2 linked regions of the Schizosaccharomyces pombe genome follow. Changing the gene in region 1 together with any one later gene gives a genetic interaction. Each region holds a gene or a part of one and is shown in the gene's direction. Other genes may lie near its edges.

Region 1 (5,991 bases):
TTTTTTGAGGCATAATACTACTTCCAGTTGAATAAGCATCGGAAAGGGTAACGAAGTTGAACTCAGAAGTAGAATATATAATAAGATCCTCTGCCAAACGGGAAATATGGGTCATTACCATACTAGCCCAGAACATAAATTCAATAACATAATCGCGGTCAGCTACAGCATTCATTGAATTCATAATAACCCCTTCAAAACCAAGTTCCTTTTGTAAGAACTTACGATCTACGGCGAAAGGATTACCAGCAAGTGCACCAGCGCCTAAAGGGAGTCGGTTGACTCTAGAATAAATTTGTTTCAAGCGATCCAAGTCATTTAATATAGAAAAGGCATGAGACAATAAGAAATGGGACCAGCGAATAGGCTGGGCTCTTTGCAAATGAGTGTAACCGGGCATAATGATATCAAGGTCAGACTCTGCACGAGCAACAAAAACTTGGAGTAACCCAACTAAAGATTTTTGGATGATGTCCAACTCATCACGTAGCCAAAGGCGCATATCGGTCGTAACTTGATCGTTGCGACTTCTTCCTGTATGAAGCTTACCAGCAATGCCTGTACCAATTATTTCTCCCAATCTGCGCTCGTTAGCAGTATGGATATCTTCGTCAGAAGGTTGAAGAGTGAATTTATTTGTCTTCCATTCATCTCGGACAGCCTCTAAACCATCTAACATTTTATCCAATTCATCAGCACTAATGATTCCGCGTTGTTCTAATGCCTTAGCATAAGCTTTCGAGCCATCAATGTCGGCATTGAACATGCGCTTGTCATAATGAATAGACTCATTATAAGCTGTCATCAAGGGATCAGTGGCGCCAGTAAATCTACCGCCCCAAAGTTTTTGTGAAGAAGCCATTCAGAATTGTTAAAACAGAGTCAGTTTTTCAAGTTTTCAACCAACGCAAAAAGGAGGTAGTACTACTTAAAATTTAATTTATCTAATCTTTTGAGAGTATGGCTATATGACCGTGTAACCTCTTCCTTATCGCAACCTATTGTTATATCACATTAACGATACGGCGATAGATATGAAATTGATATTATAATCGCTATAATAAGATCTAACGTATTGGAACGTATAAACACTTAATAAATGTTTACATTCCGCTTCGTTATTTCTTTCCTTAAGTTTACAAAAGATATCATATATGGAAGCTTTGGTTGGAATCTTACTGTATAAATGTACTCAACCTGAATGATTTGTTTTGTCTTTCTGATTTATTAACTCAGAGCTACCAAAGAATTTCGCGAGCATTAGCTTAGATTTAAGAAAATTGACTGTTATAAAGATTGAGAATTCTTAAAAGATTTTCTTGTTAGTTGTGATTGTTTTTTCGATTTTTATTAGAACGATATTTATAGATGCCTGAAAACTCATTGGTAGATAAGTATTGTTTTCTCGTTTTTACTAGTGTCTGATCAGACTAAACTGGTTTAAACATTATGATGCATCTTCCGCCCAATTTCTTTTAAGATAGCTAACGAAAATCAATTAAAATAAACATGGACCAACCGAGTTTATGAATCCACCAAATATAGTGGGATTATAAAGAAGAAGAAAATCAACGAAGAATAAAGTGATAACAGTACATGATTTTCCTTTTCCCTCTTTACTTTCGTCTCTTACTGCCTTAAATTATACACTGCATTTCAAATTGTCAACTATATTATTGATTTCTTTTGGCATGAACACATATAGGGCGTATTACTTCGACAGTCTAACATTTACTTATACCAAGCTTCTCAAAATTCGTTTATAGTACTCGTCTTCGCCAACAAATAACTTAACAATTTACGTATGGATATGTTGTTAACAGAACGTCTGGACTCAAAACGGAATCCACAAAGTGTTATCTTCGAGAATACTCTAGAGCCAGTTTAGATCTTGCTAGTTATTTTTAAATAGAAGTTATTGAAGGTTGCCGAGCAATACAAGTGTGATATAGTAATGTTGAATCTGAACCATTTATTGTCCACTAGTAAATGTGCAAGAATTAATCCATTTATTGTTTCCATGTAAAACATAGAACAGATAGCGTAACAAACAACATCGTACTTTAGCATTTCACTTTGAAAAATTTTAGTCAGAGCTTCTTGTACATTGTTATCAAGGGTCGTAAATGAATTATGTTAGCTTTCTGGAGTGTCTGCTAGACTTAAACAATTGGATTTTAGAAAACTAAAGAGTGTAGCCCCTATTTAAATCTATTTAATTGTAATAGCTTGAATGCTACTCAAAGGCGTAAATCCTTTTTTAAGCGCTTATATTCCTGCTAAAAGAATTCTAGTCAAAACGTGTACTAGCGTATTTCACAGAAGTTCCATAGGTTTTCTTTTTCTGATGTAGGAAAATTTAGGATCTTCCATTGGTAAGCGTACATTGTACTCTATCACAACTATTACAACATACTTTTTGCTGGATATTAACTTAACAAAAGCCACATCTTTAAAACTTTGAAAATAACAACTTTGCTATAATGGAGCCAAAACAACGAGTTGTCAAGCCTTTAAAAGAAAGGGTTTTACCTGTTGTCAAGGTAAATATATCTATCATGTGTAAATCAGATAATAAATGTTGATTATAAGAAAAGTTTCTTATTTAGTTCCATAACGTAACTGTAATCTATTACTAAAACATAGACTAATTTGTCAGCATTATTTTATTTTGATTCAGTGTCATATTGTCTTCACTCTTTTAATACATTACTAACCGTTTATTATAGAACACCCAGTTTGTTTGGTTTTCGGGGCAAGTAATAGTGCTAATCTCTTCCGTCTTGTATGCTCTTCAAGCAATCCCTTTTCGTTCCGCTCCTCCATTTTTGTTTAAAAGCGCTGCCTTTGGTGCCATCGTTGCATATGCAATTGTCCTTTACAAAACTTATAGTCCAAACTTGACTTCCCGTGCTTCTTGGAATAAGCATTTCTTTGCCCGTCTTATGCTCGATGACAATGTTCAGTATTTTATTTTAGCTCTTTCAATGTTGATTGATCGTCCCATCCTATTTTCTCTCGCTCCATATGCCATTTACGCCACTTTCCACATCTCCACTTACTTGCGTAGTGTGCTTTTGCCTGCCATTTACCCTAATATTTCTGACGCGAAAACTGCGTCTTATGCTTCTCGTGTTTCTAATTTGCTAAATCAGTACACTCGAAGCCAATTTCAACCTGCTATGCAACTTGTTGCTTCTCTCGAAACATTTTTATTGTTCCGTTTGTTCTTTGGGGTTTTCTTACGTAAAAACTCAATTTCCAGGTTGGTGGGCTATATTTTCTTTCTTCGCATGAGATACACTAATAGTCACTTTACTCGTGCATCCATTAAAGCCGTTAGCCTTCGAATGGATCGTTTGGTTGCAGATAACAGAGTTCCTCCTGTTATCAAAAATGCTTGGCATACATTCAAAACTTATGTGTCCAAGTTCGGTGCTTCACCTGTAGGTACTGCTCAAAGCCGTCCCACTGCATCAAGCTCTACCACTGCTCCCTCATCTACTTAAAGTGATGCCTTATTCCTTTTGATTGCTAGAGATTTATATAAATTTCACCAATCAGTGTGATTTTAATATGTCTAAGTGCTCCTGGTTTTTGAGTTCTTTACTATTAACGAGTAGTTTCTATTTCACCCAAGTAAATTTTGAATGTTCATACCGTTTACCTCTTTCTCTAAAAACTTGTTTGAGATAATTCCGTTTATTTATTTTTGCTCACTACTCCTCTATTTCAGTTATCTTTGTTTGGGGGGTCTCCTCAGACTTTAGTTTAGCTTTTTTCAAGGAAATTGAAATATGGATATATGTTGTTTATCCAAAAACTCTTTGAGTATTAAAAGATTAAGAGGTAAAAATAATACGTTTTATTGAATTTTGTAGCACAATAAACACATGTATAGCAGCGCACTCTTGAAATCTAGCAAGTTATTAGTTTACATTGGATAAAATACCAGTTTCAATTGAATTTATGTGATGTTAATGCGTTTTGTTTCTTAGCATCTGCGCAAAGTAACGTAGCGCTGTGTTATGGTTCACTGGGAAACACCAACAAAGTGCTCGATGTTTTTCTGATTATCGTAATTATTTTGAACGATGTTTGATCAGTTGGAGTTTTATCCTGCTGTCAACTATGAGGATAATGAAACTCAAAATGATATAAAAGTAAGCTTAGATAAATGTTTTTACAAGGGCTTACCCAATTAGCTACCCGAAGTCGCCAAACTTGAAAATATCGAAACAGTGCATTCCATTTCTAAGGAAAGACGCGACTCTTTAACGGAAATTTTAAATGATTCTTCAAGCTTACCGGCACGTCCGTTTTCTCTGCCTAATCCCAATAATTCAACCGTAGAAAAGCAGTCGTTATTTCCATTTGAAGAAAAGATGAACCCCATATGGATAATTTCTAGACCTACTTTCTCTATTGAGCAAGACGCGGAAAAAAAAATTAATGAACTTCAAACGTTTACAAACATTATTGATCAGATATTGGGTCAGACTAATAACATTGAGTCAACATTGTTATCAATGAAAGAAAAGTTTGAAAGTTCTGAAAAAAAGCTGAGTGAATTCTCTGAAATGTGTGAGAACCTTAGTACAGATGAGGTATTAGGAGCGTGCTGCATACCACTTATCATTACTAACACCTTGAACAGATGCGGTTTTCCGAAATAGCCGATGGCATAAGAAAAGGATTAACAATTTTTGCTCCTTTGAAAGAGCTTACTCGAGTTTTTCGGCATCCACCTCCTGACTTTGCTGGCAAAGTTTCCTTTAAAGAGCACATTACTCAATTAAATACTTGCATCATGTTCCTTGAAGAAAATGTACGAAATTCCATGTTTTTTATTTTAGCTGACTTTTTAGTTGGATTTTCAAGAAAGTCCGCATTACCTTGGTCAATACAAGAAACTGCTATCTCAAGCGATGGATATATTTAAACCGTATTTTATACGGATAATTAAACAAACTACTGATCAAGTGCTAAAGGATTCCAAAAAAATGGTAGGCATATACTTTTGGGCGTTTTTGTTTTCCCCAATCATTAACAACTATTTAGGATGTTCACAAACAGCTTCATAGTTCACTCTTCTACGCCCGATTTAGTGCTGTAGGTCATAACCTTTGCCCCACTATCACTGAATTATGTAAATTATGCTCTAAAGAAAGTTTAGATGCTTTTCTTCCTGCTTTTTATGATGTCTATTTTCAATGCCGCACGCGGCTTCTGAAACCTGTACTGGATTATCATTTGAAAAGTTTTTTTATGGAGAAATCCATTTCAAGCTATGTATGTTTAACGAAACATATATAATTAACTAATGATACCGTAGATCCAAAAATCACTTGCTCTTTTACAACTTACTTTTTTTGATGAAAATAAGTTATTCCGTGAAATTCTTATCATGGATGATTTTCGATTTATGCATTATTGGAATAATCTTTGTCAAAGCTTTTTTGAAAATAGTCGTTCATTAATTTTGCATGAAAAAAACCTTACCGAACTTTGCGAGGTGTGTTCTTATATCCAATCATTTCAAAACGCCATTTTAGAAGGGGAAAGGGAGGACGTTGATAAAAAGGTCGTTGAATTTCTTAATCCTCTTGTACTTGAGTTGCAAGAGCGTCTTTTATTTGTGGTACAAACTGCCATTGAAACCGATATTCAACGATATTCCCCTACGGAAGAAGATTTAAATCCTATTGCAGATGACAAAAGTTTGCTCTTCGACTTAGAAAAGTTACGCTTGAATAATGATGAAGAAAAGCTAGACCCCGATGTTCCACAAAAACTTGCTATGGCTCAAGGCTGGTATCCGGTAGTACAAAAATCTTTAATTATTTTGTCGAAAATCTATCGATTGGTGAATGTACGTGTTTCATTTAGACTTTATCCATTAACAGTTTTTAGTCTCAAGTATTTGACGAGATAGCCCTTGAACTCGTGCACTCCTGCATTCGTTCCTTGGTAGATGCGTACCGCTATTTT
Region 2 (3,513 bases), on another chromosome or scaffold:
ATCATCTGTTAAGCTTGACAACGGCCAAAAAGAGTTGTATCTACGAATGCATACTTTTGCCCATAAAAAAATAAACATTTACGTATTGGAATGAAAAAAATCATTGCAGGTCTCAGTAAACATCTCATGAATGTGTTTTCTTCGTGGGAAGGTACATCCTTAATATATCCCAATGATTCTAAATTTCCAGCAATCGTTATCAATTTTATTTTTTACAGACAAACGAATAATTTATTTAGCTGTTGACGGATGCTATAATTCTATGTCGTTAAAGACTGTATACACTTTACAGTTTGAAAAGTTTGCTTGACATTTACCGGTGCTTCTACAAGGTCTAAAGTAAGAAAGATAAACCAAAACTATTGTCATTACAACAGTTAACAGTAGCCAAAGACAGCTATAATCCCAACAAACATATAAAAATTCCTTAAATTAGGGGATTTTCTCAAGTAACGATTTTAAAAACCAGATAACAATCCTACTGAGTCAAAGAAGCAACCATATCCTTATAACGAAAACATCAGAAATTACTCAAATGATTAACAATATCAATAAACTAATCTATCAATTATTTTCGATGAACATTACTTCTTCTTATCCTTGATTAACAGCTATGTATGCTATTTTATGATATCTTCTCTTGAAAACCCCAAAAAAACAGTCACATTAAGAAGAATATAAAGGGCACTGTGCTTTCTGCTTTTGCATAGTTCTTTCACCTGGAGTGTGCTCATCTAAATAGTAAATAGGTAAGTTTCATCATTTCACAAATGGAGATTTCAGAGGATGCGAAATATATACCCAAATTGTATAGCAAGGATAACGGGGTAATCGTTTTGGTTGCCTTCTTGCAGTGATAAAGCATTTTGTCATAGTTACACTGATGAAATTCTTCATTTGCTTAAAACTTTTTGGTCTTAAGTTTGAAAATTCTTTACTAATTTTGAAATAGATAAAAGAAGCCGTTTTTAACAGTTAGACACCATCCTATTCTTGAGATGGTTTTTTTATTCGATCCACGAGTTTTTGATAATTACCGATACTATAAATTTAATAAGAAATTAAAAATTTACTTTATTAAGTCAAAACTTGTTTACATTTAGTAGTAATTTAATTACAATTGAAAGAGTAATGTTGGTAGTGATATATATCTATGCAGACTTGTATGTAATGTAGACATTCTTTAAATCAGAGAACCGTAAAGTTCGGTTGTCCTCCTTAACTTTAGATAATGCAACCGTACATATTTTGCAGGGCTTGACTTTAGCGAACTGCATAGTCCAGTTGTTCATGGTTTGGTTAAAACAATACAACGTAGCATACTGTGGAAGTAAATCGCTCATTTTTGCTATGGTTTTTTTACTGTTAAATGCTTTGGTAATGAAGTAAATAAACTTAGACAGAAACACAAGATGACTGTTTGATCGGCTGAAAATACATACGGCAATTCTTTTGAAAATCGGATTGTATTTGTACTATACAGTATCGTATTTACTGCGACTTTCCTATGCACTAATTAATATACCACACTGACGGTACGAAGCGAATGCCTGTAATCGTGACGTTGTTCACTACCACCGATAGAATAAATGCAAACTTATCTTTAGCAAACAACTCCCATATTCTAAGACAAATAGTTCGTTCAAAAGAAAAATTATTGAACACTCAGATAATTTAATTAAGCAGTACCAAAATGTCTTTTCAAGTTCGTGTTAAGCAGAATATGCAAGATTTGGATAACAGGGTATGTTAGCAATAAGGCAGGATATCCGATGGAAGCCGCTTTACGCACTCGGCAATATAGGCTATTATTAGTATCTTGTGATTTTAGAAATTATTCTTTCTATTCAAATTTGTTTACTAACTTTTTTTTCCAGTTGGCAGCCTTTCCTCAACTCAACAGTTTGGAAAAAAATTTTGGTGTTAGCAAGCTTTATGTTTTTCTTACTGCAGCTGGTATATATGCCTTGTTCCTTTTCTTGAACTGGGGTGGATTTTTACTGACCAACCTTCTGGCATTCGCGATGCCTGCCTTCTTTAGTATCAATGCTATTGAAACTACTAACAAGGCCGATGACACTCAATGGTTGACCTATTATTTGGTAACTTCATTCCTCAACGTTATTGAGTACTGGTCTCAGCTAATCCTTTACTATGTCCGTAAGTGTTTAAATTTTTTGTATTTAGAGGCGTGATTATAAGATCATTAAGGATCTAATAAATTTTGCTCTCTGCTTTTAAATTTATTTTTTTTATTTACTAACTGGGGATTTTCCTTTTTAGCTGTGTATTGGTTACTCAAGGCTATTTTCTTGATTTGGCTTGCTTTGCCTAAATTCAACGGTGCTACCATTATCTACAGACACTTGATCCGTCCCTATATCACTCCTCATGTGATCCGTATTTGCAAAAGCGTTTCTCGTCAAAATGCCGCTCCTGCGCCCACAGCCTCTTCTTTTGCACATACTACCGCTACTGACATTCCACCCTCTATCTAGAGATTTCTGAACAAAATGTTTGGAATGGACTTGTATTCCATAGAATAGTTATGCTATACTACTCGATGAATGATTGAAAATCATACAACGGTAACGTTGTTTTCTTGTTTTTTCCCATCACAATTGACTATATTTTGGACAATTGCAAATAATTCAGTGTTTCAGAAGCTTTGCCTTTCTGAATCTCTTTCCTCTAGTTCTGATTATTTTTATTGACTGTCAAAAATTTAAAAAAATTTGGCCTTTTATATGCCGCTTTCGGCATGGACCTCGGCAATGTTGAAGGGTTTATACTATATGTATATCGCGTAGTCTTTTTGAGCAGTACAAAATTATAAGGCTGCATGCTTTACCACAGTACCGAAATTGCAATAGACATTTATTTTATGGCAACTATAGTAACTTACACACACATCCCAAAAGCAATAACCAGACTACAGTATACTTACAATGATATACCCATATTCGAAATTGCTGAAAAAAATTCTGAAGATTAATAACAAAGTACTATCTCAAAGTAACTGCCGCTTTGTAGAATTGTAATATAAAAATATCGCAATCAATTTATATTTTGTACAAATACATACAATACGTCTTTCAATAAACAGTTAACCCATTATAGCGTCGTTAAACACAATAATGAACTCTACCACTTTACATTGTGCATTTAAGAAACTTCGTTAAACCACATCAGTTTCTCGCTTATACTCGAAGTTTCTAGCATTACATCATGCCATGGTATATGGTCCGTCCCAGCGGGTACAAAAACATCTACTGTCTTCACACATTTTGTTTCGTTTCCAAACGATATTTAGAGTGTATTGCAACGTTTACATTCCATTAATATTTGGTCGAAAGAATAGTATTTCTTATTGACTTTACATACACTACTTTGGTACTATTTTTCTTGAAAATTCAGGAACATTGTACAATTTGAATTGTAAGGTTTTCTTACGAAATATATATAAAGGAGTTATAACACAAGAAAAGTGGAAAAATAAAACTTTCATTTCGT

The links. A genetic interaction does not mean that the proteins touch.
Region 2: of tts1 (region 1) and yop1, changing one enhances a phenotype caused by changing the other (phenotypic enhancement), as found in Schizosaccharomyces pombe (one study listed by BioGRID).

Annotation. Positions count from the first base shown.
Region 1 is NC_003423.3:4,365,906-4,371,896, forward strand, and holds tts1 (tetra-spanning protein 1), read left to right. Parts: upstream 1-2,436; 5' UTR 2,437-2,483; coding exon 2,484-2,543; intron 2,544-2,642; exon of another isoform or gene 2,643-2,729; coding exon 2,730-3,509; 3' UTR 3,510-3,911; downstream 3,912-5,991. Other genes in the region: arg41 (argininosuccinate lyase), read right to left, coding at 1-862; COG complex subunit Cog3, read left to right, coding at 4,095-4,163, 4,206-4,607, 4,658-4,828, 4,869-5,006, 5,062-5,292, 5,336-5,872, 5,914-5,991. UniProt on the Schizosaccharomyces pombe protein: Required for the correct positioning of the cellular division plane by delimiting the actomyosin ring assembly at the cell equator.
Region 2 is NC_003421.2:2,195,293-2,198,805, reverse strand, and holds yop1 (ER membrane protein DP1/Yop1), read left to right. Parts: upstream 1-1,605; 5' UTR 1,606-1,693; coding exon 1,694-1,744; intron 1,745-1,877; coding exon 1,878-2,160; intron 2,161-2,283; coding exon 2,284-2,498; 3' UTR 2,499-3,013; downstream 3,014-3,513. UniProt on the Schizosaccharomyces pombe protein: Required to generate and maintain the structure of the tubular endoplasmic reticulum network and the vacuole. Induces high curvature in membranes and causes membrane tubule formation. Involved in membrane/vesicle trafficking.